3 linked regions of the Neodiprion lecontei genome follow. The protein of the gene in region 1 interacts with the protein of each later gene in a pairwise test. Links are inferred from orthologs where the notes say so. Each region holds a gene or a part of one and is shown in the gene's direction. Other genes may lie near its edges.

Evidence for each region.
Region 2: the proteins of proteasome subunit alpha type-1 (region 1) and zinc finger C4H2 domain-containing protein interact in a two-hybrid assay, tested with the Caenorhabditis elegans proteins (3 studies listed by BioGRID). The link is inferred for Neodiprion lecontei from reciprocal best matches to the Caenorhabditis elegans genes pas-6 and vab-23.
Region 3: the proteins of proteasome subunit alpha type-1 (region 1) and translation initiation factor eIF-2B subunit alpha interact in a two-hybrid assay, tested with the Caenorhabditis elegans proteins (4 studies listed by BioGRID). The link is inferred for Neodiprion lecontei from reciprocal best matches to the Caenorhabditis elegans genes pas-6 and eif-2Balpha.

Annotation. Positions count from the first base shown.
Region 1 is NC_060265.1:2,721,868-2,727,687, reverse strand, and holds proteasome subunit alpha type-1, read left to right. Parts: upstream 1-2,295; 5' UTR 2,296-2,451; coding exon 2,452-2,454; intron 2,455-2,815; coding exon 2,816-3,066; intron 3,067-3,309; coding exon 3,310-3,469; intron 3,470-3,571; coding exon 3,572-3,781; intron 3,782-3,852; coding exon 3,853-4,065; 3' UTR 4,066-4,293; downstream 4,294-5,820. Other genes in the region: exosome complex component RRP43, read left to right, coding at 1-177, 256-376, 484-587, 791-894; caltractin, read right to left, coding at 1,316-1,825, 1,965-1,967; lipoyl synthase, mitochondrial, read right to left, coding at 4,700-5,069, 5,159-5,317, 5,390-5,447, 5,546-5,702, 5,786-5,820. UniProt on the Caenorhabditis elegans protein: The proteasome is a multicatalytic proteinase complex which is characterized by its ability to cleave peptides with Arg, Phe, Tyr, Leu, and Glu adjacent to the leaving group at neutral or slightly basic pH.
Region 2 is NC_060263.1:27,158,661-27,167,178, reverse strand, and holds zinc finger C4H2 domain-containing protein, read left to right. Parts: upstream 1-2,974; 5' UTR 2,975-3,175; coding exon 3,176-3,234; exon of another isoform or gene 3,235-3,326; intron 3,327-3,792; coding exon 3,793-3,964; intron 3,965-4,383; coding exon 4,384-4,565; intron 4,566-4,814; coding exon 4,815-5,042; intron 5,043-5,384; coding exon 5,385-5,514; 3' UTR 5,515-7,521; downstream 7,522-8,518. Other genes in the region: 8-oxo-dGDP phosphatase NUDT18, read right to left, coding at 1-222, 310-415, 512-1,055, 2,219-2,327; cathepsin L, read right to left, coding at 8,372-8,518.
Region 3 is NC_060260.1:5,336,490-5,344,094, forward strand, and holds translation initiation factor eIF-2B subunit alpha, read left to right. Parts: upstream 1-2,857; 5' UTR 2,858-3,029; coding exon 3,030-3,054; intron 3,055-3,125; coding exon 3,126-3,227; intron 3,228-3,371; exon of another isoform or gene 3,372-3,534; coding exon of another isoform or gene 3,535-3,580; intron 3,581-3,661; coding exon 3,662-3,801; intron 3,802-4,143; coding exon 4,144-4,260; intron 4,261-4,506; coding exon 4,507-4,619; intron 4,620-4,722; coding exon 4,723-4,867; intron 4,868-5,027; coding exon 5,028-5,153; intron 5,154-5,400; coding exon 5,401-5,550; 3' UTR 5,551-6,636; downstream 6,637-7,605. Other genes in the region: tubulin-specific chaperone D, read left to right, coding at 1-67; solute carrier family 25 member 40, read right to left, coding at 365-594, 862-943, 1,033-1,229, 1,321-1,483, 1,618-1,752, 1,938-2,104, 2,209-2,317.

The DNA of each region.
Region 1 (5,820 bases):
TTGCTTCTAAGACAATAGATGACATCTTAATAAATTCTTCTGCCCTGGACTTGACAGATCTATGTGTTTGCATTGATAAACTAGTGTGGGTGCTTTACTGCGATTTGATTTGCATTGATTATGATGGATCAGTTACAGATGCATGCCTTGGCGCACTTGTAGCTGCACTTAAAAGTTGTAAGTCTACAATTGTTTCATTGTTATATATTAGCCTCATGGATTTGCTTTAACAATGATCCACTGTTTATTGCACAGTAACTTTACCAGAAGTCCAACATAATCCTGAAACAGGTGCCATCGTTGTAGACACTTCTGACAGAAAACCATTTCCTCTCAAGTCACTTCCTGTATCTACCACGTTTGCAATTTTTGATGAGTAAGTATCTTCCATCAGTATACATTTTGCTTGGATTACGTGGAAACATTATTGAAATACGGTAAGGTCAAATCGTATACAAAACAATATTATATGTCTGTGTTTAGACAACTTCTACTTGCTGATCCAACCGATGAAGAGGAATCTCTGGCCAAAGGGAAACTATGTCTCGTAATTGACGGACCAGAATTATGTGGCCTTTACAAGCCTGGTTAGCAATTTTCCTTATTCTTTGCAACATCTAGTAACTGAGTTCTTTATCTCTGTAGTACTGGATGCAAATCAAACTCAATGGGTTTACCTGATCCGATGGATAAAATGATAACAAGTTAAATCAAATGAAATGAAATTATTTTATTTATAATACTGCAAAAATTGATTCAACCATTTAGAGGTCTAATTATTTGTCATCAGGAGGAATTCCAATATCTCAAGAACTATTGTCAAAAAGTTTGGAAAAGTCTAAGAAGAGAGCAGATCTTATCAGAAAAGTTATCGAGGCTGCAGTGACAAACTGAGAAAGCACTATATCAATAAAAACAGTATCTGTACTTTGAATCGAATTGATAAAATAAACATTGTTTCTTTATTGACTACTTTTACTTTGTGCAGTGCCTTCAAAATCAGAAAAACGATCACAGGATTTAGTCATATGTTGATAGGTAGATGTTAAATACTGTTTAGTTTTATTGATCATTTAAAATATTATTGATAAGCAGTATTTACCAAAGTAGAGATTACAATTTAACGTTTTCTGAGAGCCACATTAAAATGATAGTTTTCAAACAAAAATAGAGATAGATTGTACTAAATACAAGTGATCGTAAAATTTGACTGATTTTGGCAAATATACAGCGTAGTGGCAGTCCTTGGTTAGTAAAAATCTTGCTGACTTATATTGATAAAAGTTGAAACTGAAATTAGCATTGCCGATCTGTTTTAATACAAACAAGTCTTTTTCATAATGCGCAAAAACTCTTCTTGTGAAATTTCTCCATCCCCATCTCTATCAGCCTCGTCGATCATTTCTTGTAGTTCCTCGTCAGTCAAATTTTCCCCCAGCTCACGAGCTACTCTTTTCAAGTTTCTAAATGATATTTTCCCTGTATCGTCGTCGTCAAATAGACGGAAAGCTTTCAAAATTTCTTCCTTAGAATCTTTTTCTGCCATCTTCACCGACATAAGATTCAAAAATTCCTCAAATGACAATTTACCAAGACCATCCGGATCGACATCGGCTATTAATTTTTTAATCTCTTCCTTTTTTGGTTCAAAACCCAGAGCTCTGATCGCTACTTTCAGCTCTTTGGTAGCAATTTTTCCCGTGCCATCAGGATCAAATAAATCAAATGCTTCTTTAATGTCAGCTTTTTGTTCTTCCGTCAGTTCAAACTTTGGTGTGCTTTTCTTCCTTGTTCCACCATTGATTTGTTTCTTGTATGCTGACGTCTATGATCAACAAATTAGTTACATTATTCAATTTAATCTACCTTATCTATTAGTCATTTTTTGTCACAGATGCATTCAACGAGTCCAAATATTTGAGATCCCGCGAGCAAATGAATAAATGTTTACTACAGATAATTACCATATCTTGCTTAAGGTGCTGATTCAAGTGGAAATACACCACACGATATTAAATAAACACTTTTTATGATAAACAAACTGCGATCAAACAGCAATTGGTTGTCAACATTGAAAAGTCACACGGTTGCTAAGGTACGTACACGTCGTGACATCGCTAAACATCACATTCTTGTTTTCCGTTCAATGGCTATCTACGTACTGAACAGTGCTGAAAATTTTCGTTATCAGCCGAAACTTTAGCAGCTAGGTGCGCTGCGATCGTCTCCCTGGATACTCTACCCGAATTTTTTTTCATGAGATTTCAGAACACAGACACATACAGGATTTCCTAAGACTTGGTATTCTCGTCTGCGTTAACACTGTCATTCGGGGTCTCATTCATGGACGCTTGATGACAGTTTACTTTGCGGCACATTATTTCTTTTTACTTTGATTGAAGGAATAGTGAATTTACCGGGTCCCATACTATTGTGGATTATTAAGTGAAAATGGTTGGTATTATCCGATCTATTATGAAATAAAAATTCTAATACATCAATTTTTAGGTTCGGCACTTTTTGCTTCGTCATTTGCTTCGATTTTAAGAATTTACAGATTTGCAGTCGCTTTTAAAACTCCGATCATACAACGATGTGGAATGAGAATCATATGGCGGTGGTTTTGAGTTAATAATCAATGTTAAAATACTCAATTTTTCAGTTTTTTTCATTAATTTTGCGAGGTTAGGTGACTCGAACCCCCATACACAAAATTAGAACCCGGCCGTAGTTATATTTAAATGGCAAACTGAAGTCATTTTACCTGATTTCCAATATATTCTGTAATATTATTTCTCTTTCCAATTACCCTCAGTTCCGAAATCAATACGACAGCGACGTGACGGTATGGAGTCCTCAAGGCAGGTTACATCAGGTAGAATATGCCATGGAAGCAGTCAAACAGGGTTCGGCAACAGTCGGGCTTAAGAATAGAACTCATGCTGTACTGATTGCTTTAAAGAGAGCTTCTTCCGAACTCTCTGCTTATCAGGAGAAGATTATCCCGATTGACAATCACATGGGCATCACTCTTGCTGGTCTCACTGCAGATGCTAGAATGCTAAGGTTTGTCTTTTACATCAACATTTGTCTTGCTGATCAGTTTAAATGACAATTAATTAATGCTGCTACTGTTAAATTTTACATTGATATAGCGTTCAAAAAATGCAAATATTGTCAATCAATATAATAAACTGCATTGTGAACTTTGCCAAAATATCCACAATTTTCCAAGTATTTTTTCATCTCTGTTAAATTTATACTATTTACTCTGATTTTTGATATCACCTATAATATCAATTCTTATAGTCGATACATGCGAACTGAATGTTTAAACTACAAATACTCGCATGACTCGGTCTTACCTGTGAGTCGGCTCATCACTACCCTTGGTAATAAGATGCAAACGTGTACTCAAAGGTACGATCGACGCCCGTATGGAGTAGGACTTCTTGTTGCTGGATACGACGTAAGCAGTTCTACTATGCTGAAAGTTTATCACTTTTCTAACGAGATTAATACATTTTTGTTTTGAAATGAAGCACTGATTCAAACTAAAATCACCTTTCAGGATCAAGGACCACACATTTTTCAAACATGTCCATCGGCCAACTATTTCAATTGCAAAGCTATGGCACTGGGGTCACGTTCTCAGAGTGCTCGTACATATCTTGAGAAACATCTGAACGAATTCCCAAGTTGCGATCTTGACGAGATTGTCAAACATGGACTTAGAGCTTTGCGCGACACGTTACCCAATGAAGTAGATCTCACAGTCAAGGTACTTTTACCATTACATTAGAATTGCGCCGTATTCCAAATGTATTGACTGTAATATATGACAATTTTCAGAATGTATCGATTGGAATCGTTGGAAAGGATGTGCCGTTTACAATTCTTGACGAATCTGCTACAGCAATTTACTTGTCAGAAATTGAAGGGGATGAGAAACGGTCTAGAGGTCCTGGTGGTGCTGCAGAACAGGATATTCAACCACCTCAGCCTCCACCTGCCGACCAAGGGCCACAAGATCCCCAGCCGGCTGTTGCGATGGACACAGAGTGAATTACATTGCTATGTGAATGCTTTCTTTTTTCAGTTGCAATAAAAAAATGTTATTAATCACACCGGAATAAAGTCGTTTTCTCCGTTGGCAGCAAGGATTTTCATCTTTATGATAACTTGATATCAGTCTTGTTGGTAAACTGAAAATTGTATTGAAAATATAGCAACATTTATTTGAATAAGCTTTTGTAATAACATAATTAGGAAATAAAATGGTATATTTCCAGAGTTTGTGCACTTTAATTAATCAAGATAATTCAACTTTTCATGGTATGTGATTATAAGATTATCGGTAAAAATAGAATTGTGTAATTCCTCGCGTGAATAATTATTAAGAACTGACTAAAAAGGATTCGGCTATGAAATACATGATGGTTACTAATCCATTCCTCCCCCACCCTGCTCAAGCTACCTATTCGCTTGTGGGAACGTAACCGAAAGAGTATGGCAGGTTCAGAAATAATTATTGCTATGATTATTAAAAGTAGAAGTTAGAAAATGTTGCGTGTCACCCTTTTGGAATAAATTTTATTTACAATGATTATTAATGGCTTTCAACTTGTATAAATAACTTCCTTCTATATATATTACTATGTAATCATTGCACCAGCTATAAAATTCAGGATATAACTAGTTAGGTAGCTGAATCTTGTGTAATAGATTCAGCTTGACGTGACTTCAATATGTTTGTCAAGAAAAATTCACCAGCTTTATAAGAAGACCTCACTAATGGGCCACTTGCTGTGTACAGAAAGCCCAAATCATTTCCTACACTCTCCCATGCTTTAAATTGCTCTGGTGTTACATATTCGATGACTTTTAAGTGTCGTTTTGTTGGCTGCATGTATTGTCCCAGAGTTAAAGCATCCACTCCAGCTGTTCGCATATCTTGCATGGCTTGTTCAATTTCTTGTTCAGTTTCCCCCAATCCTAACATTATCGATGACTTGGTTATCAAATTTGTATTCTTATTCTTCGCACCTTCTAAAACGCTCAGCGACTGTCTGACAAATGTTGATATCAATTAAAGATGTTACTCAGCAAATGAACAGCATTAATAGTTATTTACTATGCTCATTTCGCTGGAACTCACCTATAGTGTGCACGCCTGTCACGAACAAAAGGTGTTAGACGTTCCACAGTCTCAATATTGTGGGCAAAAACATCAAGTTTCGATTCAACTATTTTTGCTACGCATTCCTGATTACCTCTGAAGTCTGGTACTAAACATTCGACCAACATATCTTTTCTCCTAAGAAAATAAGGTAAATTTGAGAAACAGCATTGAAAACGTAGCAAATGAAATGCATGATACAAAATTTACCGCTTTTTAATTTCTACAACAGTAGCTGCTATGTGATTTGCTCCCCCATCTGGTAAATCTGCAATGGGCAATGAATATCAAGTATGAGTTCTGAAAGTTGCTCTTTTTAAACTAGTTTCTATAACAGTAATGTTACATAAAAAAAAAATATTTCACCATCACGGTCAACTGATGTTAAGACAACGTAGTCTAAACCCCAGTCTGCGATTGCTACTGCCGTGTTGACTGGTTCGTCAGGATTAGGGGGTTGTGGAGTCCGTGCAGTTTTAACTGAACAAAAGCGACATCCGCGAGTACACGTGTCTCCCATGAGCTAAGGATTTATCACACATCGCCAGTTCATTTCACCAAAGAACAAATTATTTTAGATGATACTGATATATATAAAGTTCGAACCATGATAGTGGCTGTTGCAGTTCCATGTTCGCCAC
Region 2 (8,518 bases), on another chromosome or scaffold:
TGGTATGGTTTTGTTACGTGGCATAACCGTTACTAATGTGTCACCGAGAGACTGGGAAAGTTCATGCCAAACAAACTTCCCAATAATTGGGACCTCCTCTAAAGGTGGTCGAAAAGCTACTAGCATGGTCAGGGACAGGCCATCCTCTCCGTGACCACCAGCATATTCTACAGACAGTAAACCATGTGGTCTATGTTGCGGTACATCAGCTCCAAAAATTTCCTAGTGTGAAAAGATTCACGCAATTAATGTTAAGACCAACTGATTACATGCAAATCCTCAAATGATAACCAGAGTTTAGAAGCTTACCACCATAAATTTGTGCAGCGTAGAGTGAAGATTTCTTCTCGGGTTTATTTCACAAATAGGTAAATGATACTCAGTGCGTTCCGACAGCAAAACATGCATTCTGTTACTATAAATGGAGATAAAAGATGTTAATTAGTGCACAAACAACTCATGTAGTCAATCACACTTAATGCGCATATGAATATATAATAATAAATCTTACGTTGCTTTCTTTTTTATGCAAACAATTAACTTCAAATAAAGCCTACTGTGGGGATTGGCTATAGGAAGTAATGGAGAATGCCATGGTGGGTTAAGGCCTTGTTTGTACTCTCTAACTCTATGTATCAACGGTATGATATCATATGCTCTAAGTGACAATTCCTCAACATTTTGAATCCAACAAGCCTGTAGTGATTCTTCGTCAGCTTGTTCAGGAGTCTTTAAAGCACCACCAATCACATTTCCAGTCATAACAAATCTGAACCAAGATCCAGTCGCGCATTCAACGATTACCAATGATTTTGGTTCAACGATAATTCCCGTCTCTTCGAGAACCTCTCTTCTGAATGCCTCTGTCAATTCCTCGCCGGGTTCAACCCTTCCTGCTGGTAGGTACCATTTTCCTGCACAGGAGGCCTTTGCCTCCTGCATCATCAATACCTCATCATTATCGTTAATTAGTACTGCTGCGACTACGTATGTCACAGTTTTTTGACAAATTGGAACGTAGTCAGAGCTTGCAGTGGGTTGAATTCCTTTGGCTTCTGGAAACGAAAGTATCGTGTCAGTCAAAGTCAACGAGCTATTCATTAAGGCTTCAAGTGCACAAGTGATTTCGTATAATTCTAAGCGATTTCAGACAATGGTAGCTGATTACAAAATACTACGTGTAATTTCTCGCACTTTGCATGATTTCATGTGATTATACACTTTTTTATGGGACTTTGAATTGATTTCATATGGATTTCACACTAATTCATGGGATTTCATATTGATTTCAGAATGATTTCGTGATGAGTATGGTGATTTTCATGCAATTTTGGGGTGTACACAAAGAATTTCACAAGAATTCACATACCATAAATGTGATTTGACAAAATTTCATACTATTTTATACGGTTGATCATGATGATGAAAAAAAATTATCTTTCCCCCTTAAACACTTCAGGTTTTGTACAAAACTTTGTCTTGCATGTCTTTACGTTTGTGAGGTAATCACCTGGGATGATTAGAACCTAGGACCCTATATGAAGTGCTCTAAAAAATTAAAATTCAATACATTCGGGTTGGTGTTTATTGTGAGTGTAGTACTCCTGGGCCTTACGATTTCAAAAGTATGAATCGAATGATTTCAAAGCAATTTCATGATAATTTCGTATGAGTTTAAGATTTGGACGAGAATTCTGATGTTTTCGGATGATATTGAATAATTTCAGCTGATTTCAGCTCAATTCAGGTGATTTCATTCTTAACATACTACGATTTATTTCTTAATGCAAGCAACTTCCAACTGATTTCAATCTGGGATATATAGCTGATTTGAAAAATGAATAGCCCCTTGGTCAAATTACACTGAAAACAGGTGTTTGATCATTGCGAATATCTGTAATTGCACTAATAATATTGCTATGTTCGAAAAAAGCATCAGGTTGATATGAAGCAACTACTTAGCGATGAAATTAATAAATGATAATCCTAATACTCATAAAATTCGCTTTTCTGCAATACTGGTGATTCAGGGACCCACAATTTCTGGAGTACTGTTACACGAAATAAAATTTTCAATTGCAAATAAAGTTTGGATGGCTTTCAAATTTTTATACGACAAATTAAACGAACGAAGGCAGGTGAATGACCTCTAGTGGCACGCTATTGCGATTGCCAGTTAGATTCTTGAAAGATGCGTATAAATTCTTCCCATCCTTACCTATTGACTCATTTTGTTCAGCAAGCGTAAAGTCGCACAGATCATCGTTGTCATTTATACTTTGTCCATTTAACACTAGCCTAATCTTGTCTTCTATGGTATCAGGCATTTTATTATAGCTAACGCTTGTTAATATTTCTATTCGCAATTAAAGTACACGTAACGATTCATAACTGTCGTTGACTAAACATGCTGCTTCGTGTTATCCCCCACCATCAGAAGACACTTTTGCACACACACACACACGCGTCAGAATAATTCTGGGCACGTTCTCTTCCGTAAAGCAGGCCGGAGGGGATGACCAAAGATAACGACATGAAGGCATCAGAGAAGATGTATAAAACTTTTTTCGAGCATGCTCCTACTGTAGTTATCTCTATACCCACAGGCCGTGACGTTCACTCACATCACTCACACCAGATCCTGATGAATCGAGTGCACGTGTGAGTGAATCTACGCCCTGTAGTTGATCCCGCAGCGGTAGTACGCGGCTTTTCATGTGTTTGGATTAATGCCTAGAACCCAAGAACCGATGAGTGTACCTCGGCAACCTCTCCAACCTCTCTAACATACGTCATTTTTAGTGCTCGGCAGCACTCGGCAGCTCCAGGCATTAGACTTAGCTCTGCTCTGATGCTGCGTTCGCGCAACAATAGACCAAGTGCTGACGTATGGTTATACCTAGCCACCTAGGTAGCGCCACTGGTGGCACAAAGTCAAGATAGGGAGTAAGCATATAGTAGCGCGCTCTTTGAAAAATTTCTGAACTAAACGCAAAGCTAAGCGGAGGCATCACTAAAATTCTCTGTAAATTTCCATAACTTTCCAAACTTTCTTGTGCTCTGAAAGAAGCGCAAAGGGAAAGGACCAGTTTATTGGCAATAAACAGGGGGATGCTTGTTGGAATTTTGTATTAATTGATGTGATATAAGCAGTGAAACCTTAGCTACGTGAAAAATGTCATCACCGGATAGTACAGTCATTTTTGCTAAACTAGAAGCACTCAAGGATATTAGGTTTGTACAAGATGCACGGAAAACAACAGTTATTATTCTGCGTTTATTGCACGGATCTGAATATTAGAAATGGATGCCTGAAAAGACGAGAAGTACGGTCATTTGTTTGAAAAAATCAATCTTCATAAGTTGTCGTTCAGAAAATACATTATTTGTTATTTTTCTTACTACATTAAACCTCAACTCACTTAATTTATAATGTGATAAGATACGTCATTTCGCTACAACCAATCAATATCCACTGTTAACATTAACACCAACTATACATTTTCATTTAAAAAATGCCCTATTATATACAACAATTTCATTATTCATTAATCAAACATTCAAAATATTCCACAGATTGTTGGGTTTAAATTTTATAAAAATTACACATTAGATAATAATTGTCAACAACTACCCATGTCTTAGAAAAATATTGGTTGTAATATGTTCACTCACCATTCACACAATGTTCAGTGTCTGTTGTGAATTATTTGATGCATTGAAATCTTACAACTAATTAACACCAAATTTAAAGATACTGATGTATTTTGTAATTGCATGCGAATTTCTTAGGTCAAAGACATTGCAACTAGAAAAAATGAAGCAGAGAATCATTCAAGAGGTAGAACAGACAGAACAGGAGGAGAAGTGCTTGACAGAATACAAGCAGGAAATGGAACTTTTAATGCAAGAAAAGATGGCACATGTTGAAGAACTCCGACAAATTCATGCCGACATCAATGCGGTGAAAAATTCATTTTTACATTCAAATTGACCACATTAATTTATGCTGCTGAAAAATCAATGACATTCGTAATGAAGAACAACATTTTTCTATGTATTCACATTATTTTCATTTCCACAATGTTATTGGCAAAGGATTTCGATAGTTTTAATATATTTCTTATTACACAGAAGACCCTAGAATTTTAGGACAATAAGGGAACCCTGAGGAAATAACATAATTGTAGCAATTTGAGTCACATGTTTGGATTATTTTTCAGTTGTGGTTGGAGTAATATCTGTTTATGTTTTTTCTGAAGGCAGATCTAATTCGATGGTTGTCTTACTTTGCTATTCTTATTCATAGTCTTTGAATTCATAGTCTTAAGTTTAAAAAAAATGATATCAACAATTAAATGGATAATAACTTTCATTCGGTAGATGGAAACAGTTATAAAGCAAGCTGAAGATGCTCGCAACAGAGCTAGAGAAACAGCAAAATTAATCCATAACAATGACTATCAACCACTAAAGCACGACATCGATAGAATGCGTAGAGAATACTTGGGACTTGAAAGACTACCAGAGCTCTATGAAACGGAATCAGATCTTATTTCACCTGAGTAAGCAGATTTCTAACTATTAAATTACTTAATGCGATCCGTAATAGTCTTGTAAATTTATTCTTCAATCCAAAATCCTCAACTCAGATTGACAATTTATAACTCAGCCATGTGCAAAGCGAGTTACACGAACATGTTTTGAGAATACAAAAGATAAAAACAATTTATTGATCTGAAAAATGTATTAACGTATGTTAAATATGGAATAATGAAACTAATGAATAATGAATAATAATTATAATTGTGTAGACGGTTTGCTCGTAGCTATTTTGACCGCCCCCTGCAAAAAGCAGAATGGCGAGTTGAGGTAAGGGGTGATGATTTAATGCCTCCGTTGGGCTTACACCCCCATCCCAGCCACCAAGGAGGTCCAACTCCGTTTTTAGCTCCACAACCACTACAGGGTCCTAGTAAACCAGAGCCTAGGCCTTTGCCTCCAGCTCCTGGGCCCCCAGCTCCAACATTCAGGTACCACTGGTATATCTTCACTTTCGCATTACATATTCAACAGTAGTATACAGAATGGGGCAATATTATATAAATCGGTTGTTCGTATAATATATCTTTACTTTTACAAACTGCCTTTGGATCATTCTATTAGGAATGCACAATACGAGTTGCAAAGAATAGCAATAGATTTTTGAGCTGATTTGTGGATTAGTGTGTTAATTTTCATGTCACATATTTCAAGACATTGTTCAGTTTCTTCAATTTGTAGTGTTTGTTGTAGCAATATTATTCGTATTGGAAAGAAAATATAATGGTGCTCTGTTCTGTATTTTGTATCAATCCTTCTAATTTCTTATCCTTTTTTTTCAGGCAACAACCTCCACCAATGAAGTCGTGTCTATCCTGTCATCAACAAATTCATCGAAATGCACCAATTTGTCCTTTATGTAAAGCTAAATCACGTTCACGTAATCCTAAGAAGCCTAAGAAAAAAGACTAACGTGTAGGCTTGAGTTTATCATTAGCTCTTGAACCTACAGCCTCCAAGCATCAATTCGAGAAAATATAATTATTTCATAATAGTTATTTTCGTCGCAAGTGCGCATAAAATAGGGGTTTCTTGACGAGTGTAAAGTACGAAACTCACACGAATCAAGAAGTCCTTATATGCGTACATAGCACAGATTCTATTTTCTGTGATACCTACTGTCAAAAACTACTAAATAATCGAATTGTTGACGACGGTAGTGCAGAAAAAGATTTCTAAAATATTTTTTTTTATTTTTTAACTGATCTAGTTCTGAACGTGTGTTTAAAATTAACGAGCTTATGAATGTAACTACAGTATTTTAATTTACTATGAACTTCATTATTTGGTCGAATTCACATTTATACAAAATACAAGGTGAGTCATATTCAAACTCTGGGAATTTGAGAAGCTTATTTGATCAATGGATGCTGTACCATAGCCGATCAGATTAGTAAACAGGCAGACCGCATCAAAGAAACACTAATATTGATATCGGAGTGAAATTTTGATGGTCCAGTGTTGGCGTTGTATGACAATCAAAAAACGCAACGACAACTACAAGTGTCCAGATGCTGCTCAAACTGGCAATAAAAGACGTCCTGTTGAATATAAAAATTTAGTCGGAAGATTTTGAGAAACCAGTTGGCATCTAAATAAAGTAAACTTTGACAACAGATTCAATATCATTCAGTATTACTAGTCAGTATCATCACGTTATTTTTCTAGAGCAGCTAACTGTTACATACATTTCTTGCATCAATGAATATGTGGACTAGCTCCTTGTTTATGGCGATATCAATATTGACATACGTTGCTTCAATATGGTTTGCCTAATCATTCAATTGATCGACTGTGAAGTGACGCCTATTGATCAAGTAAGTTCCTCCTGTTCACGGAGCTTGTACTCACTCACCCTGTAATCACAGAATATAGACTGAAAGTCCAAATCAGAAACCCAGTTAAAGTTATTGCGTAAATGCGTCATTATTGTGTAAATAAATTTTATTTTAGATAGCAAAATGAAATTGAGCAACTTTGAGTTATAGAACAGTAATTTGTTGAATAGATAACAGATCCAGTGATTCGCACTCTAGTTTACTCAATCATCCTCCAATACACACAGTTTGGTAATTGTACCATATTAGTTCGATTTGCCCTATGCAGTTACTTGCAATTGATAAAGTTCGCACAGTGAAAATTCGAGCTCCCTGTACTAATCGGAGCAACAATACTGAAACCAACTATTCAAACAGGTTCCGAATAGTTCATAAAATATCTAATGACTGAAGATTCCAAAAGCCTGAAATGTGAGTATATTTGAGTGTATAGTAATAATTAGCTCGATCGTGGTTCATCATAAGTAGTACACAAGTTGTTACACTGTTGAATTTATGAATTACCATGTACATTATTGCAATTTTATATCTACTTAAAGCAATATTATATGTAATATTGCAATTACGATCTTGAAACTAGTGTGAATAATCCTTTATTATTAGGTATCTTATTTAAGGAAAATTTGCGTATCATGAACTTTATTCAACCCCTGTTGAAATTGCATAGATACTTTCGGAGTTTGTTGGTTACTGAAAGTCCAAATTATTTCATTACATAACTTGAATCAATTCAGTGATAATCGAAAAGTAATTAATCGCACGAATAAGGTACTGGAAAATATTTATTTTTGAGTATGTTGAATCCCTTCTCTGCCACAATGTATTCAATGATGACGTCGATGAAGTTACTTAGTTCTATGACTTATACGACAGTCAGAAAATTTTGTAATCTATTCTACGAGTTATGAAATTATGAAATAATGTGTGTCATTACGTTAAGATATACAGAAAAGACGGAAAATCAAGCTAATTTATCAATCACAATATATAATTATAGGTTGAAATTGTAAAACCGAAGGACAACGACGTTAACTCGTTGTTATATAGGTGTCATATTTTATTCTGTCGCGATTTTTATCTACCGCGTCCGAAAATGCAAGAGATTAACGTTGCTTTATCAATAGGAATAGGAATTCAACACATCGTACACTGGAACTTAAATGCAACTAAATCTGTACCTTTCTTGTAAACTTTAATAAATGGAACACATGTTGTCGACAGAACTGGTAGATTCATCAGGCATAGGAGTAACAATACTGTCCAATATGAATTTCAATGAGTGCCATTCAAAATATTTCCCTAATTACGAGCTCTTCGAACATTGACCTGAATTTAGGAATTTCCAACAATCATCCCAGACTGAGAAATGGATTTTTGTTACAGATATAATAAATCTAAATTTCGACTCATGATTGATGTCTGATTTATATTCGTAAGATATTCTATTGAAATTGTTCGTTCTTCTACAACGTAGAATTAGATAATGTGGCAAATGATAAAGAAAAATTGTACTTATAAATATTTCACGTTATTAGTGTGATCTACGTATAAGGGATAAGTAACAAAATTCAAATCTGCCAAACTGTTCAAAAGTACTCCATATTCATTAACAGTTAAAATATAAAATATTACATTCATGTCATCAGTTTTAAACGTCGCATTGGCAAGATCTATCCGTCTATCCGTGGACTGAAATATTTACTACTAATAACATTTGATTTTTTTACGGTTGTAATTTAATACTTATATATTGAAATTATTTAAAAATTACGAGTATATAAAATATTAAATGTATCGCTAAGTAATAATAAAACAAAAATAGGTACATAAACTTTATCAGTTAGAATCACATATGAAATTGATGTTATCTATTAAATAATTCCAGAAAATAATTCATGAATAACAAATCTCATCACTCTATATTGCCATAATTAAACAAGAGGATAACTTGCTGTAGAAGCAATTCCACAATGGTTGTTCTTATTTCGGGCCATCTTGATATACCCGTGGTCACCCCAATCACCACCCCAACTGTTCTTGACGAGCCAATAATCCATGCCATTTTCATCAGTACCGTA
Region 3 (7,605 bases), on another chromosome or scaffold:
CCCAATTAGAAATCATTTGTGTGAGCTAATGAAAGTTGCACCACCTGTTATGATTAAAAAATCTTGAGACTTATAAAAATGCTGTGCAACTAATTTCGGGAATGCTTTTGCTAAACGATTTTTATAATTATTTTTCTTGAGATTAATACAAACATGTAACTTGTTACCAACTAATGCGATGAATAAATTTTGCAAACCATTTTATTACAATGGATTGACTTTGCTCATTAAAATTTAGGATTGACGAATCAACTATTATAATACATATGAAACACCAGCATGGCAGATAGAGCATCTTTTTATTACATTGAGATATAAAATATTGTAAATGTAAATAGATGATCTAATACTTTTCTGACATATTTTAGTACTTATCTTTGAAATACTGTATGTCATTCTCAAGTTGAAGTATTTGCTTTGCATTGTATGCTTGGAAAAATCGCTTGCCATGTTCAAAGGTTGCTATCATAATAGCGCAAGCTGGGGCAACTTTTACCAGCCGAGGTGTTAGTCCTGTGAACAATCCTCTGATTCCATTTTGGGAATAGATTCGTCTTATTATTGACAGAGTGTCACTGCTACGGCCGGGTTTTTCTATGAAATAAAAATAATTTGATTAATGGATTACTGTATGAATACTGTATTGCCTGTGCATATAATATGTCTATATTTCTATTAGATTTAAAAACTTTGGACCAAAGTCTGTATTGGCAAGCTTATCACTCACTCCTAGTTTATTGAAATTGTCCATAGTAATATTACATTTCATAAATAAATAATTTAATAAGTTTTCTCAAGTAAAATGTAGATTTCTGAGAATTCCAGTATCATAATATTAATATTGAGTCTGAGTATATTTACCTGAATAAATTTCTTTCTCACCCATCTCTATCTGCCTATGCGTTTTAACAACATCAAATGGAATAGTCACTAAGGCCGCTATCTATAAACAAATAAAATTGGTTGAACGTAGGAACAGAACAACTTCAAATGGAATTGAATACGATTCTCCTTGGAGAGTAATTAACTTACAGAACCAGCTACAGCTCCAGCTGCTAAATTAAATGTAAATGTTTGTTGAGTTCCTCGAAACTGTTGTTTTATAGTTTCATAGTTTAACCAATAAATAGCACTGAACGGTACATCGCGCAACAATGTAGACCCAAGACCCATCCACAAACCAGAAAATCCACTGTATTTAACAACGGTCTTTAAAGCTTGTCCGATTTCTGGAATAAAATTTTCATTAAATGTAATGCGTGCATAGATATTCTGAATTTGGAAGAATAGTGATTATGAATATAGTTAGTATCAATTTACCGATATAACTCAGTTTTTGCGATTGCATCTTTGTTCTAATAAGCTCTAATGGGCTTACTAAAGATGCAGCCCAAATTCGCGCTGTGCCACCAGCTAACATTGGAATCCAGAACGGTTGCACCGAATGATTAGTTCCACTATTAATCCTACTGTTATAGGTATCCTGCAATGTGTATAATGCTAGCTCTGAAACTGTTTTTCAGAATATCGAATGAGTAGAAACTTGACAAGGGTCTTGGTCAGTTTACATAGACAATAGCTGCCATACCCAGATATAATCAAATCTATTATATTTACCTTGAAAAATAGCCTCAGTTGTTCATAAGATACAAAATATACTATAGTTGCTGGTATTGCCAGGATGAGAGTCGGGCTCAACCCACTCCATAGTGATAATACACCTTCGGTTCTACTAATTTTAGTTAGCGCGTCCTGCAAATATAAATGGCGGTGATACAAGTCGTATGGTTTTATTACTGTAAAAATGGAGGCGACTAAGAAAAATATGGAATAAAATGATCACTGGTGTTAATTCGTGAAAAGATCGTCACCAAAGGAGGTGAAAGATTAAAAGTTAAGATATTTGTTAACAAGGAGTCGCTGAAAATTTGACCAACCAGCGTGCCATTAAATTTTCCATTAGCGCGCATCCAAGGTGGACTTTTTTCATCTAGACAAGGGCAGAGATGGTCCATGAGTCCGTTACAGTACAAAAAGCATTTGTTAGAGAGCATTGCTTTTTGTTGCGTCTGTAGTCGAATTTTTACAACATCCAGCGGTGTTACTAAAAAAAAAGGAACACATTTAATTGCCTTAATTGAACATGAAAATTTTTTTTGTTATCACGGAATACTACGGTATTGCATATCTACTTGTATGTATACTTACCAAATAGTGATGTGATTAATGCTCCAGTACACGAAGCCACCATTTGTTGATATGGTCTGATGCGGAATCTTGGATCATCCAAGTCAATATCGTCGAGATTATTACTCATTTTATTGCGTTATTAGATTCAGCTTACTGTCATTGACGATCAAAATTAATATCTACCGTTCAAGATGTACAGAGTACACATAACCTCAATGCAACAGGCTTATTTGATCACATGTCAGAAGCTTTCGAGGTGGCTGAGTATAATTGTTGTACTATAAAGTGTAAAAATAATCTTGCTTGATATATTTTTAAGTAAAGATTAGCTTCGATGGTGAAATTTCATGAATCCTGGTATCAAACAGCAAGGGCACCATGCTATATTATGTTCAATCATGTCGTACATAAATAGATTTCGTATGTACAATTGAGTATGTATATTACGTATTGTTCTGTTTAAAATTTACGCTATGCAATTATTATCGCTCAATGTTCATTTGACATAAGTAAATATCAAACTTTACGCGTTGTAATTCACGTTCGATTAATTGTGAATGAGAAAAACTTGTGAATAGAAACTATACTACCGGTACAGTTTCGTGAATTCCAAAAGCCACAAGAAGGTACTCCACGATACGTTCATCCGATTGCATCATCAATTATGGATCACGGACACGGTGAACGGGAATGGAGCAGCTCTAAGCATGCAATAAATACGTGACGTTAACCTCAAATTGTCTCGACTGCACAGATGTTTGGTGATTTATTTTCTCGCCTTTTATTACAATAATACTTCAGTATTGGAAGAGTCGCGATAGCTGATAACATTTCGAAAAATGCCAGACAGTATGAATCAAAAAGGTATTTAGATACTGATTAAAAATATGGCCTACTTAACCAACAACTAAGGAACTATTTAAATACACTTTCAGATATCTGTATATTTTTTAACCGCATTATGAAGAATGAAAGCGATATATCAGCAGGAATGGCTGCAATACAAACGCTTTTAAAAGTTTTGGAACGCTCTGACTGTGAGTAATTTTTCGTAGTCTCAATAATGATGTTTAACCCTACTACTCATGATTATTTTTTATTACCTTCAAACGCATGACAAAACTGGTCCTATGCTGATAAACAAACTTCCTCATGCATGGTTTTCTTCGTTTTTTCATAAGGAAGAGAATGGTGTACGAAAAATCTGAATTTATTTAGATTTAGATAATGGAAAACCCAATCGAAGTCTGAAAACCACGTAGCGGTAGTCGCACTCAGCATCGTTTAAAGTTTGTGTGGGGTGCGTTTGGACCTCAGTCACGAGCTGTAGGGTTAACAAAGTGAATGCAACTAACAAAGACTAAGGCTGTAAATTTATGCTGCTTTGTAGGTGAAAATGGAATTTCCGTCCATTTATGGTTTCATGAGGCTATACTTTCTTCATTATTTGATTGTGTATTATTATGTTTAGCGGAAACAGTTCAGGAACTCCATTTGTGTCTGCAAAATGCAGTAGATACAATGCGATCTACCGATCATCCTGTTACTGGTATTGCTTCGGGTTGTGAGCTTTTCCTCCGTTTCATTACATTGGCCACATTGGATAATTCTGTAAGTGTCTTATTTTAATTTAGAAAGTCGTACTTAAAATAAAGAGAATGTTCACCCGAGATTTAAAAAATTATACTTATACTTCATTCGATCGATAGGATTTTAAATAAGTATGGTAGATAATACACAATCAGTTTTTAATCAATTTTACTCAAGTCATAGCAGGTTCTTTGACAGAAAGGGTATAAAAAAACAATAATTTTATAAGAGTATTTGGATGGTACTCAGGATATAACATTTGTATTATTTGATCTGCTCTCAAAAAATCGTATTTATAAACATACAACAAATCAAGTATCTTACCATACACGTATAGTTTATTCATTTTGCTCTTACATGCAGCCATTTGCTGACTGTAAACGGATTATGATTCAGCGGGGGAAGCTTTTCTACGATAAGTTGTTTGCTGCACGTGGTAAAGTGGCTAAACTGGCTGCACAGTTTATAATAGATGGCTCGGTAAGTAAAAGAATTTCACTCGGTGATTACTGACTCTAAGGATGATATTCTGATGATTTGATTAATATTTAAATAAGATACAAATTTTCACGTATATAGTGTGAATAGAATCTAATTAGATTGTGCTCTCAAAATGTGTAAAATAGAATTCATTTGTACACACATCTGACGTAGAAATTTGCACTCAGTACAATTAACACTATCAACTCAACTACTGTGAATTAAATTACTATTCATTTTGCATAGAGGATATTGACACATTCCAAATCCAGAGTTGTTTTACAAACTATGAAAGAAGCTGTAGCTAGTAATAAAAGGTTCGAAGTTTATGTCACGGAGTCTTTCCCAAACAATAGCGGGTGAGCTATAATTTGATAAAATTTTAACATTGTATATATCACACAACATTTTATAATTTACCATAGACCCAATAGAAATATGAATAACGTGATTCATGTACAGCAAGGAAATGTGCAAAGACTTGACCCTCCTGGATGTGCCATGTACGTTAATACTTGATTCGGCAATGGGTTACATTATGGAGCAAGTTGACATGGTAATGGTTGGAGCTGAGGGAGTTGCAGAGAGCGGTGGAATAATTAATAAAGCAAGTATAAGTTCTGTCGACGTAATATATTATGTAACAGTAATAAACGAGGTAGTATTCATGGTATGATCTGAGATGCAACGAACAAAACTGCATCTGTAGAGTTTTCCATTACTTTTACACAAAATTATAAAAAAAACACGTAACTCTCTAATTGCAGGTGGGAACTTACACAATGGCGATGTGTGCTCGGGAGATCAAGAAACCTTTTTATGTCCTGACTGAAAGTTATAAATTTTCTCGAATATATCCTCTAAATCAAGTTGATCTCCCCAACGAATTTAAAGTGAGTTTAAACTGTGGGAGAAACTATTGTCTACTTTCTTTTTGCTTTTCAAACTCTTACCATTGATTTATTGTTTTAAATTTATGAATCAGTCAAAATTTAGTGGCGAATGATACTATTTTGACAATGTCGACACGCGATATGCACGTGTGCTAGAATCTACTTATTATAGTTGTCAAGATTGAGATAAATTGAAAAAGTGTAACCATATACGAAGTATTTTTATACGTGTATGTTTTTCCCACAGTACACAGCAAGTACACTGAAAAAGGATCTACACCGAGAACATCCATTAGTTGATTACACTCCACCATCTTATATAAATCTTTTATTCACTGATCTTGGTATACTGACTCCATCTGCTGTTAGTGACGAACTTATTAAACTTTATTTATAAAATGAAACAATTTTGTCCTGCATTCACAGGGATTACTATTTTTCACGTCACCATTGAAATATACTCTAAAGGCTGCAATACGAGATACATATAAGACTCAAATTCATTTTAGATGCCAAATTTTTATTATGGGGTATTCGATTCGTGAGTTGCTTGAATATTAAGAAGGTTTACGAAAATTCATTCAATTCTCTCCGTGAACAAAGTCCTAGTTAGTGGAAAAAAGTTCCGTTATATGATTGCAGTTACAACCAGATCTTTCTATGTATGTTTTGTACAGGTAGAAATAAATTCGAATCAGTTGAAGCGTTGAATTTTTTAAATTAACGTACGGATTGGTTATGGAATACTAAATAAATTAACATCTTTGAAGATAAAAGCATGGTTTTCTTGTTAAAATATTGCTTTTTTATTCCATCAATGTTAGACTTATCAAACGAATAAAATTTAACAATTAAATGAACATCAACTGACTATATTCTTGCCTGTAATGGCTATATATATAATAAAAACGATAATCTACGTACATATGTATATAGAATCACGTACATTATTTTGTTCATTTGTAATTCACATACATATATGAATAAAACAATATACATTATTCCATAACTTCTTCCTAGTTGACTGATTCCATATTCAGATTAGCAACTTTAAAGAATATACTCTATAGAAACGATTTTTATATTGCACAGCAATAGACATTAACTTATAAGAATGATAGCGTCTGATATTTAAAATACTTATAACATATCAATAATCATTTCTTCCAACAATGGTAAATTATTAATATCAATGAGATGTAAAGTAACATTATTAAATAATACAAACGCGCTAGTCAGTTGTCAACCTTTCCAATTAGCAAATAGAAATGATTTCTACCTGCGCAGAGGTTCTCGAAGTAGTATAGCCCTATTGCAAATAGAATTACATTTGATATTCAGTTTATTCTTGTTTTAATACATAATTTGGCGACATGTCTTGACCACTATTTATTATCAACATTTATAGCAACAACGGCTGATGCTCAAAGTACTTATACATTTTTATTGGACTTGTTCTAAAATATTGAACGTCATTTTCTTGCATTTCAAGGAAAAATGAGATATATGAATAAATGACTGGAAGAATTCAAAAATCATATTAATCAAGAAATTCAGTAGAATTTCGCTAAGCGTACATTTAATGAAATTTTTAATGCAGACTCAACCGAGTTTATGCACCACAACGGGAGCTAAACAGTCTACATGGCAGTAATATTGTCTTCATTTTTTTCAGTTTAGCAATGTTTCTGGGATTCGGCGATTTATTTTGAAATTCGAGTTTAAAAAGATTCTATTTTAGTGTAATTCTAAAGCAATTGATGCATGGAAAGCTGACATATAATTTACGCGGTTAGATAGACGTCTATTAAATTGAACATATACTTTTGAAAGAAATATTTCGCTTTGCAGAATGTTACTTACATTCACAAAACTAAAAAACGCCTGTATTATGTTCACAGAATCGTACTATTTTTCCGTTAATTAATGTGGAAGATATAAAAATGTAATAATTTTATCAAAAAATTTAATCTCCTGAAGTATTTAAAACTAAGTCAATTTTGTGGGTAAAAGTTTTTCAAAAATAGCTGCAAATATTATCACGAGAAATACGGTTTTAATACTTAAACAATAAGCTGCTTTTTCCTTAACCTACGTACATATGGATGCCATAATTAGCAGCGTAATTATTATTCTATTTTATTGAAAATCTCCTATCAGAAAAATCTTTGCATTATATAATATTAGTATGGTAGCTGAAAGAAATTAAAAATATAAAACTTAAATTCTTAGTTCACCTTGTCATTGTTTAACATACTACTTGAGAAAAAAAAAACCTAACTCTACTTTTATTACAGACGAATATTGCAGCTCAGAAGTAATAAACAATATCTTACACACACTGTTTAAAAGCTGCGTTGTATTGAAAGATCATGCTCAAATCAGATGAAGAAATATTTTATTTTATATTGGAGTAGATGCAAATGCACCTCAATGAAAACAAAACTATGGT